2 linked regions of the Oryzias latipes genome follow. Each later gene encodes a partner of the first gene's protein in a complex. Links are inferred from orthologs where the notes say so. Each region holds a gene or a part of one and is shown in the gene's direction. Other genes may lie near its edges.

Region 1 (8,056 bases):
AGTATTAAATTTGTTTTAAAATGGGTTTACTATATACGTAAATTCGTTTTACATGTTGGGATGTCGTGCTTTTGTTTATGTGATGCGGCAGAAACCATTTCTCACCTGTTCCCAGTGAAGCTGCTGCTGTTTGGCTGCTGTGCTGTTCTTCTGTTTGGGACTCTGGAAGTCTGAAAAACAGCTGCTGGCTTTGCTGTACTTGAAGGTGGGGGCACGAGGCAGACTCTCCTGCTACAAAATGGGGGGAGAGGTGAGAGTGAGCCTGAAGAGGGGGTGGATTGGAGCAACAAGCGGTGGGCCGGACAGCGGAGGAAAAGGTGGTGGCCAGTTGAGGAAGTGAATGACTTTGAAAAAGCTTCTTTATTGGATCATGGTGAAGCTGCTGCTGCTGCTGGTGATGATGATGATGGTGGTGGTGCTGCTGATGGTGATGATGATACAGGTGGTGGTGTTGGTCCAGGGGCACCCCATTATCACACAGTCGGTTCTCCGGGGACTCAGAGACGGTTTGCAGGCCGCCTCCAACACTCCTCTGGCCCTGCATCAGCTTTGCAATGGCCGGGCAGTGTTGGGGTTCGTTCTGCAGAGGTTGAGTGGAGGGGGAGGGACTGAGCAGAACAGCTACAACGTTTCCACTCTCTTCACCAGGTAGTGGCCTGACATCTCCATCTGAGCCCCCGGCAAGAGCAATGTGTCCAACAGCTGAGGTGACCGCATCGTCGTAGGTCAAAGTGCGAGCCACCGGGGGGCGAGAGACTTTTCCTGTGGTTGTGGCAGCCCTCCCAGCAGGAGGGGGAGCAGATATAGAGGAGTGCGGTGTGTGATGCTGAGATCCAAACAGGGTCGCCAAAGAAAGAGCCTTGGGCTCAGAACCCTCACTGCTCTAGATTTAAACAAAAGGAAATGTGTAATATAATATAATATAATATAATATAATATAATATAATATAATATAATATAATATAATATAATATAATATAATATAATATAATATAATATAATATAATATAATATAATATAATATAATATAATATAATATAATATAATATAATATAATATTATATAATATTATATTATATAATATAATATAATATAATATAATATTATATTATATTATATTATATAATATTATATAATAAGTAATGGATGTCAGTTAGAGAAACCAAACAAAAATAAGGTATTTCACTGAATAAAAGCTGACCAAAAGCTACATAAAAAAAAAATGTTTTAAGCAAAAACTGGAACTCAGACACAGAATCTAAACGTAATCATACCTGAGTGTGTGGTTTAACGGGTATTGGTTTGATGAGGTTGGGGTTTCCAAAAAGGACACTGCTCCCACCAATCTCTTTTGGTTCTGAGGGAGGTTTTTCCTGAGAAAACAAAGAGGAAATACTGTACATGCTCTTTTATTTTGAAGAAAAACTACAACAAAGAAATGAACAAAGCGAAACATTTTGTTGATCTATTTGACAAAAATGTACTGATAACTGATGTTTCGTTTGATAATCTTTCAGTCTTTGAAGGTAGCATACTTTGTCGAATTCGCTGCGCGCTTTGGTCAACATCTGGATGATGTCGACTGGCTTTGTTTTACTGCTTCCTCCTCCTTTTCCAGCTCCTATTATTCCTTCTCTTCCTCTTCCTGGTGACAACCACCCATCCTGGTTATGAGCCAGGAGCTGCTCCTGATGGGTCAGACTGGAAGGACGCAAAAAAAAAAAAAATCACTACATTTAAATATTTATTTCTTTTAACACGACACAATTTCAGCTTTGCTAAAGATTAACACGTTAAACACAAAACTACTTACATCTTCATCCTCTGGGCAACACGTTGACAGTCTTCCTTATCATAGAACCAAATCCCATGAATAACCACTGAAAGGACAAAACAGAAAAGAGACTTATATTTCTGAATTAATATTATACTAAAAAAAAGAAAACTAATAAAAGAACAGTCACAGCCAAAAAACAAAACAAAAACATGTTAACAGACCAGCTGTTTTTTTCTTAAATGCAATTTTACAAAAAGGTCAGCAGACAGCAGAATGAGCTTATGGATGCAGCATTTCCGCTACAACCAAATCAAATCAAAGCAGATTTTCAAAAGTTGAATTTTGATGCTGTGACATTTAAACAGACATCAGATATGTAACTATTAGCATTGCTGAAGAAATCATTCTGTTTCCATATCAAGTGGAAAGAAGCCTGTAGTCCCATTGGACGTTTGAACATGTGCCTCTGAAAGCGCCTTAGCTTCATAAACATGTTCAGTGAGCATGTGGAAAAATGTGAATTCTGCACATCAGAGAGCTAGTAAGACAGCTAGCAAATCAAAATTATTTTATTTTATTTCCTAGTGTAAATTAAAATGATCAGCATGAAATAAAAACATCTGTGAGGAAAATAGTAATTTGCTTTTTACCCCTTAATAAGTTCCATTCATATAACATTTATTGAACTTTTACAAGGAAATTCTGCCTTTTGAATGTTAAAAACCTTTAAGAAAAATAAGAGTTTATGAGTAAAATGTTAGAAAACTTAAACAGAAGGAAAGAATTACAAGTTTAGAAAAAATGAAAGATACTTGAAATAACTTTAATCCGACACTGAGATGAAAAAAGAATATTTGACATCTTAACCTCTTTAGACCCGAGCTCTTGTTTGATAGCTTTTTTTATTTCGTAGCCACGGGCCCACAGGTAATCAGAATGAACTACAGTGAAAATAAAACCCACAATGTGATGTCATCGTATGTGGACGCAAGGTCACAAGAGGCTAATATACTTTCTAAACTCATTCTAAACTTGTATACGATGCAGCATTAAACAGGAAACAGAAGAACTTTTCAAGCGAGAGCTTCACAGACAGCCCATATTCTCCCACAGACAGACCGACCGACCGCAGAGGTCACTGTGGATGAAGGAAACAGACAGCGGGGGGAGGCAGAGACACACACACAGAGTTAAGTTGAGCATGGGAAAAAATCAGCCCGGGACCAAATAAGCAACTGCAGAGGGGGACTGACTGGTGGAGTGGGAGCAACTGAGTGCTCACAGGGGACAGAGAAACACAGTCGAAGTCAGGGAGCCGGAAAATAGAAAACAAAAATGAGCAAGACGCTGAGAGAGAAACAAGGAAGTTTTACCAGGTGTGTTAGTCCTTCAGAAAAGGAACACGTCGTTCTAAAATCTCCATGTAATGAATTCTAAAAACACGACTACACTGTGACATGTCTGAAGCAGGATCATGTCCTGCAACACCTCAGCTATAAACTAACAAACAGACTGGTCAAAAGTAAAGAGGACACGATTGAAAAATCGCAGAAAATGCTTTTGACTAAAGATAAACAGCTACGGTGGCTTTCTGAGCACAAAAAAGGCTGAAAAGAGCAAAATTGACACAGGAGGGCGGGAAAAGGAACCACCAGTACCAAAATCTGAGCAGAAGGAAAAAGAGGAGGCGGGGGGATACATTCTACTCACTGGACACTGAAGAGAACGAAGAAAAAGAAAGAGGAGTATTTAAAATCTGGAGCCAAGAACCAAATCCACCCGAATGAGAAACCAGGAAGAGTAAATTAGCGGCAGTGTTTAACTAATAACACCAGAGATTGTACTTCAAAGTTGGAGCAAAACTCTGTGATTGCGAGATCCGCTCCTTAAAGCCTTCGGGACACGGACTTAATCAAAACAGTGAGCATATGTGATGACTCCTCTACAGTAAAAGTCACGGGACTTGCGTGTTTATCTGTATGTATCTGAAAAAGCACGTTTAGATGGGATTTAGCAACACGGTGGTTGTGTTGAGCTGCAACACAAAGGGAACCTTAAGATAAATTTAAGACTTTTATTCCGCTTAAACTTACTATAACTTACATTTTTGAAGGACTAATGTTGCCAGAGACAGTTTATGGCTGCATTATGAGGTCACGTTTTTGATTAAATGTTCAACTATTTGTCATGATGACCACTATCATTTCATTCTCACTGTTTCCTGGTGGAGGTTAGACTGTTCTAATAGTTAAAACACATCCTTATAGAGCTTTCCTTACATGAAACACACTAACTGTGTTTGGAGGAATGGAATCATGACAATGTGGGAGGAGTAGACACTGACATGTACGGCTTCTGAAACTTCGGAGGAAAGACGAGATTATTGTGTCGATTTTGCATCTTCGGCTGGAATGCAGGCATCTCGGCTGCCTCTCAGGTTCAAATGAAAGGAGGGAGCACCACCGTTCCTGTGGCTGACTAAACCAATCCTGCACCACCTTCTTCTGAAGAAGAAACACTTTTGTTTTATCGAACCTGCAGGAGGACTTTGTGGATTCTTTTAATTCAAGATTATTTCTATGCAAGTGGAGAAAGACAGAAACCATGATTAGAGGTCTGTTTCAGAGAAAACCGAAACATGAGAGGCTGAAGGAGGAACCTGAAGTCCGATTTAAGGGCTTGTTGGTGTCAGAGAGAGACCTGGGATATACATACGTCCGACCTGGAGGTAAGAATCTACAGACAACACATTAAAAATGGTCTCAGGATGTGTCGGCTCAGATCTACATATGCGTGAAGGTGCAGCTGATAACACAAAATATAAATAAAATGACCAACAGAATAACCAGAAACTAAACAATGCTGCATATCAATTTTAGATTTAGAGAAAAGAATTCAAGTAATTTCTGCTGAAAAACATCAATACTGTCAAAAATGTTCATGTGAGACATTTATTTTTATTTCTTTATATATTTCTTTATATTCTTAGAAAATAAAAAAAAACACTGAACAGAAACATTAAAAGAAAATAAGACAGATCCGTGGAAAAAAAAATACTGTATACTGAAATTGAGAGCTGAAAGACTAATTTTTTTTTAGAATATTGGTGTGACTAAAAAAAAAAAAACAGCTGTAAAGACTTATAAAAAAAATTAAACTTGAAGGCTTCAGGCTGGAAAAATAGCATTTTGTTCTGTCCAAACATTTTTGTTCTGTGACCTATCCACGCAGTTCATTTTTAGCCCGGGCTGCCACTTTGTGCCAACCACCGTTCCAGGAAGTTGCGGCAGCACTTAGGCCGACATGTTTATCTAATGATAAGATTCCACGACCCCTCCACCAAGAGGTCACAATGCACTGGCACACTAATGCCAGCAAGCTATAAATCACATTTTCTCCAATAAAACCACGTTTTCTGTCTACTAAAAGTGTTCTTTCGTTATGTCATCTATGTAGAAATTTGGTAAACATTAGTTTGAGCAGCTATTATAGGGTAGGGGGTATTACTTTTGATGGGTCTCACTTGATCTTTCTTTTTATCCTCTTATGTACATTAGCTTATGGCCGCTCTGTAAATTTGGTTCTACAGTGTCACATCTACAAACGCAAAGAGTCTCTTTGAAGCCAAACAGTTCCTCTAAATCCTAGGAGACACACTGATAAAAATCAGTCTGATAACAACCATTACTCATGTCTACTTTTGAGCTCTTTTATTATTCATCTTAAACCAGAGCAATCAGAGCAAACTAACATTATGCTTGACCATAACGTTTGCTTTGAACCCACCATTCATTTACTTACATAAACCAATCTAATCTGTTCATTGTAACAGCAGACACACTAATCAGCTGTAACCTGATTACTGGTTTCAAGTGTTTTTACGCTTCGTGCTTCCCACAAGCGAGTCGGTTCAAATCTGTTCCTTGTTGCAGATGCTCCTACCGCAAACCGGCTATTTTGTGTTTGTTAGCTTCTGAATAGAAAGTCTAAATATTGTGCTTTCTGTTTCACCATGTTCCAAGTAAATGTAAAATAACAAAAATGAATAAACCAAACAATTTCTTTCAGTACAAAGATCCGGCTGCATGTCATTGTATATGACGGGGAGGCCAAGACGACAGGAGCCTTCTCTGTGCTCGTCAGCTACTTCTAAGCTAGCGTGTGTTTAGATTATCAGTGACTGTGGAAGTGTATCTAATCTCAGCTGGCTGCTTTTGTGGTGCTGTCAGACTCTTGTCCCACAGGCACACTTTAGAATGTGATTGTGTGTGAGAGCGCCCGATGCAGGTCTCAGAGAGTTGGTGATAAAACAAACTGAAATAACTCTGCTGAAACACCTTAAATGGAGTCACCGATTCATCCACCAGTCACTAACGTGGTCCTTCCTATCTTATTTGATGTCAAAATAATGTTTTAGTCATAAAAATACGGCTGCGTTTGACGCAACAACATTTTTTTTGAAGATATGTCATTCTTTTAGCATTTCTAATACCCTGCACTTTTGTGTGCTATTCAAAAGAAATAAACATAGTAATTATGGCTTAGTAAAACATTTTAGGTCCATAAAAAAAACCCATAAAAATCTAACTATGATCTTTGGTTATGTGGGCCCGAACTGACCTATGCTAAGAAAATAAATATACTGAAACACATGTAAACAACCATTAATTAATTGCTATTATTATTCATATATTAGGATTTTAATAATATGCATCTGTTTATGCAATAAACTCCAGAGGAAGAGGGTCACAGCAATAACTAAAATATGTAATGCAGCAGCTTGCATTGTATTTAAGACTGTCATGCACAGCAAACGCTGAAAGAATAGGACAGAAACTGGAAATCTGTGGGCTATTTTTATATATTCTGACTTACATCGTGCGTTGCGATAAAGCAGGAAAGGGTCCTGAAGCTGAAAGTCCAAGTCTTTTGTGATCGGCTCTGTCAGATTGTCCATGCTGAGACGGTTCATAATGGTAAATCCGTGTCTTGGAGATGCCAATCTGAATTAAAACAGCATGCAAAATGACAAAAATAATAACTATCAAAACTCAGGAAAAAACAAGGTATTACACACAGTGGTACATTATCTCCCTAATTGATATTAAAATAAAAATAAAATAATTGAATGCAATGGATGACCTCAAATAAACCCTAATCACAGACTTTAGGTCTTTTCTTTACCTTGTGTAAATAAAAAGAGTGCCTTCAACTTCCGTCTTCTCCTGAAAAGTAACAACAATCACGTCAAAAAAAGTGGGGGACAAATGTGTATTTTAATTCTGTTTTTTATTAAACATCCTAGGTTGCTACTTTGTAAACAAAGCTAAATAAAGCAGTACAAAGTATGAGGATGGAAATTGTACCAGTGTGCTTGAGTAAATTAGTGTGTAGTCTCGTGATGTGGTAAAACTCTATACTAGTAGTTAAAAAATGATCTATAACTTCAATTTTGTTTTTGTTTTCAAAAATCAACTTCAAAGCAATCACTTTTAACTTAACTCAGTAATACTAGAACGAAAACGCTGTAATTTGAAGCTAAGCTAAGTTAGCACAGAATAGCATTTGTCAGGAAAAAACGTACCCACTCATTTGTTCTGTTGTTATATGTATACAGAGCGACTTGGCTGGCCACATCGACAATATTATTTATATATGGGTCTTGTCGCTGCAGAGCAGCGAGACTTATGTCCAGTCCTTTCGCAGCATTACAGCCACTGCTACCTTCAGAGGTCGCTGTCATGGTTCTGGACAAGTTAGCAAGCTAAACAACTAGCTAAAGAAATAGCCTGGCTAAAATCGATTAAACTGAACCAACGAGAAGCGGGGGAAAAAAAATCCGTGCACGAGTAGAAATATGCAGAGCGATTCGTTTATAATGTTAATACATTTCAATGTAAGCGTTTCCTTGGCTACTGATTGCTCTCCGTCATAAGTAAGTTAAGTTAAACAACGGCCATGTTTGGAGGTTGTAAACAACGTAGGCATGAGTAGCAGCACAGCGTTAAAGATTCAGCCTTAACAATCGAGTTCGAAAAGTCGATCGATGAAATTATATAAACGGGAGAAGTTTTTGCCGCTCGGTTAAAATGGGGACTTTTAAAATAAAATTTTGTCTTGTAATACCTTTTAAAAAAATGTCACCATTTTAAAAGACTGTTTCAGCGTTTTCAAAACAGACTAACATACGATAGGCAAAAACTGTCCCTCCTGACAAAAATAACATTGTTTTATGTTTATGCACTGTGGGGGGGAAAAAACCGTCGCATAAAATCCACC
Region 2 (7,954 bases), on another chromosome or scaffold:
ACTATTGCAACTTATAGGACAAACAGCAGCAATTTCAAATTTTTTGTGCCTCAATTATTACAAAAAATGCACGTGAGATCGCGGAGAGACTGCATATCAGTACAGACTAGAGAGTCTCACTTTTATATAATTTTTGGTTGCCGGTGTGCTGCGGGATTTTTGTCAAGGAAAATGTGTACCTTGGCTCAAAAAGGCTGAAAAACACTGCTTTGATAGAAGGCCCAAAGTGCTTTACAGTCCCAGTCTCATTCACCCTTGCACAAACACACTAACACACTGCTGCCTAACACAGGCGCCAACCTAGAACCATCATGAGCAAAGTGGTGTTTGGTGTCTTGCCTGAGAGGGCAGGGTGGGAACCGAACCAGTAATCCTCCAATCAGAGAGCGACCGCTAAACCTCTAGACCACAATTTTGGTGAAAATCTTTAAATATCTATTTTTATTTTTCACTTCTAAAAAAAAAAAGCTATTAAAAATGTTAAGTGTAATTCATTTACAAACATACATTTTTAGGTAAAGTTTGGATCTATGCTTTTGCAGAAAACTTAAATATCTGTTTCTTCCCACAGCTATAGTCAGAAGAAAGAAAATACTGTGGAAGTCCCCCAGCCCAGTCTTTAAGTAGTCCTCAACACAGGCGCTGTTACCTGCAGAAAGGTTGTTGGTCTATGGACTCTTAACATTTAAAAAATAGGATGAACAGGAACAGAGTGAGAAATGATGCAATAGATAAGACTGTCAGTTCACTTTAACTACCACCCACCAGCTTGCTGCTGCAATACTTCAGAGATGCTGTCTGTGGTGCAACAGCTGAGAAAAACCCCTTGAAAGTGTGCTGATCTCCAGGGAGTTCCTTAGTTCCTGCAGTGAGTCTTAATGTGCCTTGTATTGGTAACCAGAGTATGGAAAACGATTACTGAGGCTGAAACGCTTTAACCTGTTCACTGTTGGAGTCACGTCATGTATGTTCTTTTTTGGGTGATGGAGTGGTTAAGTTGTCTGCTGTGTGCATCACGAAGCTGTGATGTTTGCACAAAACTGCTGCAACGGTTGCAGATTGTTTGGCACTTTACTGTATTGCATTAATGACCAAACATGGTGTAAGTTGTGGTTTTTCACAAAGCAACATGAATGTGGACAATCAGGGTTGGGTGAGACCATCCATGTTGTTAGGCCTGACAGTGGCTCTGAGGAAAAGACAAAAAGCTGGAGGTAGCAGAGATGAAGATGCTTAGGGTCTCTTTGGGAGTGACCCGGATAAATGCCGGATGCACACATGTTAGAGGTTTTTGGAGATAAAGTGTGACTGAGATGGTTCGGACATGTCCAGATGTGACCAAAGACCAAAGAGGAGGTTTATGGATGCAGTGAACAAAGACATAAAGGTAGCTGGTGTTGGAGGATGCAGAAGACAGGGTTAGATGGAGGAAGCTGATTTGGAGTGGTGACCCCTGATCCACCATTGCACAGTTCAAGCAGGTCCAGATTGAATTTTATTTAGGTTTTTTAAGTCATGTTTACGATATTTGATGCAGTGGGGTAAAAACCGTTCTGGAATCTTTTAGTTCTTGCTTTTCTTGTGCTATGGGTTTTAAAGTAAGGTCAGAATGTATTATATTGTTGTACACTGTGATGACAAATCCATCCTTTGAATCTTTTGTTGGTGTAACTTCTTATCTTGTAGCACCTTCATATCAAAGCATATTATCTAGTGATGGTAGTCCAACATGATAAAGCGTTTGTTGTTGAGGAAAACATGAACCTCAGTTTTTATGCGATTCATTATTTTGCTGTAGAGGAAGATAACAGAGGGATTTGATTGAATTCCAAAGCTGAAAAGAGTATGTCAAGTAAAAATCTCTGAATAATGAAACCACTTTATCCTGCATGAAGATGCAAACAGTTTTATTAGAAGAGGCGGATCAAAATGCACATCTGAATGCTGATTTAGACCAGACCTCGGTCTCAAAGCGTGGGGGTCAGGTTGTGCTCTCAAGTAAACTCTGGCTTTGTTCACTTTCTGTGTGAATGCAGCCTAATCAAAAGAGCGGAAGTTAAGTGAAGAGAGATGAGCAAAGTGAAATAAAAAAAATCAAAGCTTAGAAAAAAAATGGAGCAAAAAACCTAACAATGTGAAGGTGTGGGTGTTGATTTATTATATTAACAAGCCTGTAAACGAACCAGCTGAAATATTCTGGCCTGAATAAACCTACAGAATTAGAACCAGCTGCTGAAAGTGATCAATTCCATCATGTCTCTACCAAATAAATAAAAGTGACTCCCGTCAACCATAGCCATGAATCCCTGTTGCAGAATCCAGTTTGGGTCCAATCGGCCTGCCACTTTTGTCATCCTAATTGTCTGAACTGGGGTTTCCTGCACAAATTATGTAAGAAGGATAGCTGCTGATGATCAGCAGGAGTAAGAGAGTGAAGTCATGATGGCACACAGGTTTTCAGCTACAAACACCCAAGTGACACAGCTTCACGTCCTTTTTTACATTTTACCCAAAATCACAAATGCAGTTTGGTTTATTGTTCCAAGAGGTCAACAGACGACTGCAGGGATGTTTTTGCGGCCGCAAAGGGATGCTGCACGCAAAGAGCCACACCCATGAGAGGTTCAGTAAGCCCTGCGTTTGCTGATTTCCATCTTTTTTCCGAATCTTATGTAATTTGGGTCACGTGACATTAAAGTGGTTAGCGGGAGGAGTTCCTTGTGACTGTCAAGGTTTCCAAGAGTCAAATTTGATAAGGCTTCTTTAAACAGGACATTACTTTCAGCAACATTTAAATGGATTTGTGAGCTGGGAAAAGCTGAAAAATGAGGTTGTTTTTTTAAAAAAGTGGTTTATACCAATATGAGATGATGTTTGTGTGAATGACACAACACTGTCTGTGTGCGGTTCAGTGCTGTCTGACAGCCTGTGGCTTTTTCTGTCTCTGCTTTTTTTTTTTTTTTTTTTTTTTGGAGCATCTGTGTCCTATCAGAGAATCAATATATCTTCAAAGTATACATCACTTTTTTTATATAAACTATCTTGGGTGTTATTGGGTATTTGTCTACTTTAGATAGAACTCAGATCTCATTCTTCTCTCCCAGTTGGATGTATTGTATCTTTTTGAGACTTCATTGATTAAATATCTGTGACTATTGCCTTTTTTGGACTTAAAGACAGCCTTTCATTTCAGGAGGAACATCATTTGAACCAGCTGAACCCAAATAACTTTTAAAAAATGGGGGATAGAGGTACTCATTATAACTCCTCTGCAGTGTTCCACCTCAGTTTCAATTTTATTTACTCTATTTAACCTTTATTTTACTAGGAGGATCAGTTGAGAACAGCTTTTCATTTAAAATGAAACGTTTTTAGGAGTGTTTGCTCACATCTAATTAAGAATTTAGGATTTATTTCTAATCTTTTTGCCAAAAGCCCATATCGAACCCTGTTTTCATGTGTAAGAAATTTGTGAAAATGTATGACACTGCAACTTTTGAATACATTTATACCTTTAGTTCTTACTTCTAAATGTGTATGTTTTAAATATCTATACAAAAATGTTAAAATGTTGTCTACAAAACTTAAAAATTTATATCTGTCTTTTACTGTGACTGCTGCATTTAGAGTCATTTTTGTATGCAACATTGGTGTTGATTTAAAAAAAAGAAGCTTCAGTGTTTGATATCTGACTGCAGCCCTAAGTTTGAACAGTATTCCTGGCACGCGCACCGTCCAGAAATGATTGCCGCAGAGACAAAAATGAGCAGATGGACTGGCTGTGAGGTGTAACTCAAGGAAAAAAAGAAAAAGAAAAGGGGAGGTACAGAGGAGGAGATGTGGATGGAAGAGAGATAGGGAGGCAGAAGCACCGAAGGAGCTCAGCAGAGCTTGTGTGAAAACACTGACAGGCTAAAAGGCTTTCGGCAGCAGCGGCTTCAGGAGTAGAGTCCGTCACACGCCGCCACACCGCGACTCTCACCGATAAACCCTTACATGCCGCTCGCAGAGAGTCGTGGGGAATCGGCTGCAGAAGCGGACTACAAAGCTGGAGCGAGGGCTTGACGGGGAGGATGAGGAGCATCACCTGACTGGGAGTCCGCCTCAGCACCTGCAGTGGCAGACTGAGCACTCCAGCTGTCAAGGAGACTGGGGCAGACGGAGGAGAGAGCTGCTGAGATTATGCGCAGGGCAGAGAGCTCCAGAGGATTCCCCATCTTTGGCAAAAGCAGCAGCTGCAGTCGGGGGAGCAGGAGCTTTGGCTCAGCAGACAGAGACAAAGTCAGGGGGAGCTGCAGCAGAACAAGGAGCTCAGACTCCAAAGCTATTTATTTACTATCCAGCGTTGAATGTAGACTTTCCGGCCAAGTTGTAAGAGGAACCAGCTGTGCTGAATGTACCTGCAGCCCCGGTCTCTGCAGCACTGGTGCAAAGGTGGCCCCAGCAGTGCTGGCGTTCAGCAGTGGTTGTCAGGGTAGGGGGGACAGTGGCTCAGGACACTGAATGACCAGTGTGGCTGATGAAGGCCACCTGGATTCGCTTGCTGAAACGAGCCAAAGGAGGTCGAGTCAAGAGCTCCGACGCCTGTGTAAGGCCATTTCTGAGTGTGTTTACATTTACACATGTGCATGCTCTCGCCTTTAATGCATCCACCCCGTGCTTCCGCCATCCATACATAATGTCGAGTTCCACAGTTGTGTATTACCGTGCAATGAAGAGAATTTAGATGCAGCAATCATTTTTAGCTGTCAGCTTCTGGGCAGAGCTCCACATAACCTCCATCTGACTCTCTAGAACAGCGCTCCTGTTGCACCTCATCTTTAACTGTGACGTGATGGAATAATAATAGTTGTCCAGGTGTTCCAAACAGCGTTTTTTTAAAGCCCAATAGGACTCTCGAGAAAGGAGAAACATTTGCAGTCCATCACAAATGGTGTGGAGCTGTGAAGGTGCTGCTGCAACCTTGAAGAATTCTGCTGGGATGTATGTTAAAGCCAATGAGAAGATGGCCTTGATATTTACAGACAACAAAGCCCTTGCATTAATAATAAACCTCCTAACTGTATCATTTGTCTCTTTATTAATTGGAAATGAGTGTGCAACAAGTTTTTGATGGAGATGGTGGGTACATGAATAGATTAGCTTCATCCCCGGCAACATTATCTTTTTGTTTTCTTTTTGTTTCTATACATAAGTGGGGCTGAGGAAGGAGCGGTGCGACTCTCCTTCGTACGTATGCGATGGTTGGGTAATTCTAATCAGGCGCAGAGTGTGGCTATTTTTAACTCAGACATCAGAGGGTTCTGATGCAGAGAAATGAATGAAGACTCTGTGAAAGAGGCATAGTAGAGTGCAGGTAAAAAGAAGACAAATACTGGATTTCATCAAAATGTTGTGTTCATTTATTGAACACAACATTTGTCCTATTTGCATTATTGGGGCTTCTGAAATCTGCACAATATCTTTTTTTTTAAATATAAATATTAATTTTCCATGTGTTTTTATTAAGTTTACAAACTTATTTTTCCTTTTTTTAAGGGAAAAAACCCAAATGATAGTTTCAATGTTAGAATTCACAATTTCATTTTGGTTGCTTTCATTTTATTTTGTTTTTTTTGATGGTATTGTAAGTATAAGTAAAAAATGACTTTATCTAGAAAATAATAGATTGATAAAATCATGTCAGACTGTGAATCTAATTATGACCTTCAAATGAATCCAGCTTACTCTGATAATTATGGTCAACATCTGGGGTTATGAACTGGCTTTAGTCAAATCTTTATGCAGAATCTCTTTATTATTGGCATCCATTTATAATCCTTTTATTAATTTATAATTTTTTAGTCTTGTAACTGTCAGCTTTCTGTATTTGACCTATGTGTTTATGTTATACATCAATGTCAATCAGAGCTCCTGAGTGTTCATGTTTCTATGAGTCTGGATATTAAAAGTTGTTCTTGTTGCTTGGATCCAAACTGAACTGGTCTGTTTCAGAACCTTCTTTGGCTTCTGTGTCATTCTCTCATTGGGCTAAACTGTGCAGACCAGAATAAAGCAAGCCAAAGAAAATCAAAAAGGTTCCAAAAATCCTATGATGTGAAGGGCATCGTATTATTTTATTTTTTGCCAGACTCTTAAATAAATTAAATCCTTGAATTGAAATTATTTTTAAATGAGTTTCTTTTTAATGGAGACTATTTTTAGTAGCTTTTTCTGAAGGAAATTCAACATTTATCAGTGAGTTTCATTTTACATCACCATATTTGTTTTTTTATTTGACAGTTAAAAAGTTGTTATTTAATCAAACCAAAAAGAAAGCTGAATCACAAACGTGCAAATCAAATTCAATCGGTTCAATAATTTGGCAACTATACCCTAATTTCATAAACGTATCTAAGAAAAAAAGACATTTTTGTCAGGGTTTTCTTCTTATATATGGATATTGACTGATTATAGATTTATTATGGGACACATTTAAAGCGTATTTGATTATTTACCATTGACATCTGTTTCCACACCTGTAAGTTGTGTTATTTATCAAGTTGTTTCCTCTAACAGGTTGTATTTTTAGCCATGTGAAGCTGAGTTTGAGTGTCACTAACAAGCTTCTGTTTGTGGGTCTGAAGGGTTCGGCCGACTCCTACACCAGCCGTCCATCAGACTCCGATGTGTCCCTTGAAGAAGATAAGGAGGCAGTTCGCAGAGAGGCAGAGCGACAGGCTCAGTCACAAATTGAGAAGGCCAAGGTTGGTATCATCTTTCACAATTTGATAACTATTCTGCTGCCTTTCACTAAGTACAAACATACTGGAGGTTTTTCAAAGGGCCTAAATCATGCTATTCTTAAGCCTTTCAGTGTAAACTATATGCATATATATGAAAATATATTACCTTTGACGCACTAAAGAACACATTTTTTATGAAATAGTTGTTTTATTGTTCATTTTGCGTCAGTACGTAAGACGACTGAATCTCTGAGGCTCCGCCTTTCGGTCCGTGTGGGTGCCGCCCACTTAGAGCCGACCTCGGTGTGTCTGCGTTTCGCCCACGAAATCAAACAACATCCGAACTTTTGCAAAGACTGATGTGCATGTTGTGTATATAAAAGGAAAGCATTTAGCAGATCCCTGCTAGCACCAAGTCGAAAGTGTGTGTGTGTGTGTGGGGGGGGGGGGGGGGGGGGGGGGGGGGTTATGGCAGTAGAGACTCTTCCTGGAAGGGGCTGTTCTTCACTTATCTACGTCACAAGGTGAGAACCCACTGGTTTTTGTGGGTTGAGAGGGGCTGGTGCTCAGAGCGCAGGTTTTTAGAAGAATGATCAGAAATGCGTAAACGGATCAAAATGTGGTTGTGAGGAATTAAGGTTATACTACACTTAAAAGTTCAAAAAAGTTCATTTTATATGTTATATGTTTACATGATAATTATTTCATGTCATAAATATGACAGCAGATTGAAAAAAATCAGTCGAGGCCGTCAGAGGCTGAGGTGTAACTCTGCTTCTTAGCACTTAATCCCAGCTTTGCAGGATCTGACCTGGGGGGTAACTGTCTGGGACATACAGTCCTGCGAAGGTTTTTTTAGCCTTTTTATGGAGGAGTGAATACATTTTTTCTCAATTAATGATTAACTCATTTAATTGAAGTTGGCGTTTTTCCCAGCTTGCAATGCTCCAGATGGAACAAGCCTTTTTTTCTGACCCATCTTCATGCATTTCCTGCTTTGACCTGAATGGCTAATACTCTGCTGGCGCTATGTTTTTTTTTTCTGAGATGTTTCAAAAGTATCTGTGTAGAGTTGATCAAGTGTTGTTTGCCATCACCAGGTGATTCCATAAAGTCTAAACCCCACACTTAAAACTAAAAATTCATGGAGTCTGTTATACAAACAGACACAGGATATTAGAGCTTATTTTAGTCGCTTTCTCACGTGGAGGAGGGCTGTAGATGTGAGG

What was found. The genes of interacting proteins can lie anywhere in the genome.
Region 2: voltage-dependent L-type calcium channel subunit alpha-1C (region 1) and cacnb2 share a complex: the UniProt entries of both Homo sapiens proteins name them as parts of the calcium channel complex. The link is inferred for Oryzias latipes from reciprocal best matches to the Homo sapiens genes CACNA1C and CACNB2.

Annotation. Positions count from the first base shown.
Region 1 is NC_019881.2:14,483,786-14,491,841, forward strand, and holds the start of voltage-dependent L-type calcium channel subunit alpha-1C, read left to right. Parts: upstream 1-2,743; 5' UTR 2,744-4,381; coding exon 4,382-4,505; intron 4,506-6,652; coding exon of another isoform or gene 6,653-6,780; intron 6,781-6,961; coding exon of another isoform or gene 6,962-7,002; intron 7,003-7,361; coding exon of another isoform or gene 7,362-7,520; exon of another isoform or gene 7,521-7,799; intron 7,800-8,056. Other genes in the region: dcp1b (mRNA-decapping enzyme 1B), read right to left, coding at 106-883, 1,275-1,373, 1,536-1,701, 1,814-1,880, 6,653-6,780, 6,962-7,002, 7,362-7,520. UniProt on the Homo sapiens protein: Pore-forming, alpha-1C subunit of the voltage-gated calcium channel that gives rise to L-type calcium currents. Mediates influx of calcium ions into the cytoplasm, and thereby triggers calcium release from the sarcoplasm.
Region 2 is NC_019878.2:20,108,934-20,116,887, reverse strand, and holds the start of cacnb2 (voltage-dependent L-type calcium channel subunit beta-2), read left to right. Parts: upstream 1-3,702; 5' UTR 3,703-4,519; coding exon 4,520-4,588; intron 4,589-6,626; coding exon 6,627-6,746; intron 6,747-7,954. UniProt on the Homo sapiens protein: Beta subunit of voltage-dependent calcium channels which contributes to the function of the calcium channel by increasing peak calcium current. Plays a role in shifting voltage dependencies of activation and inactivation of the channel.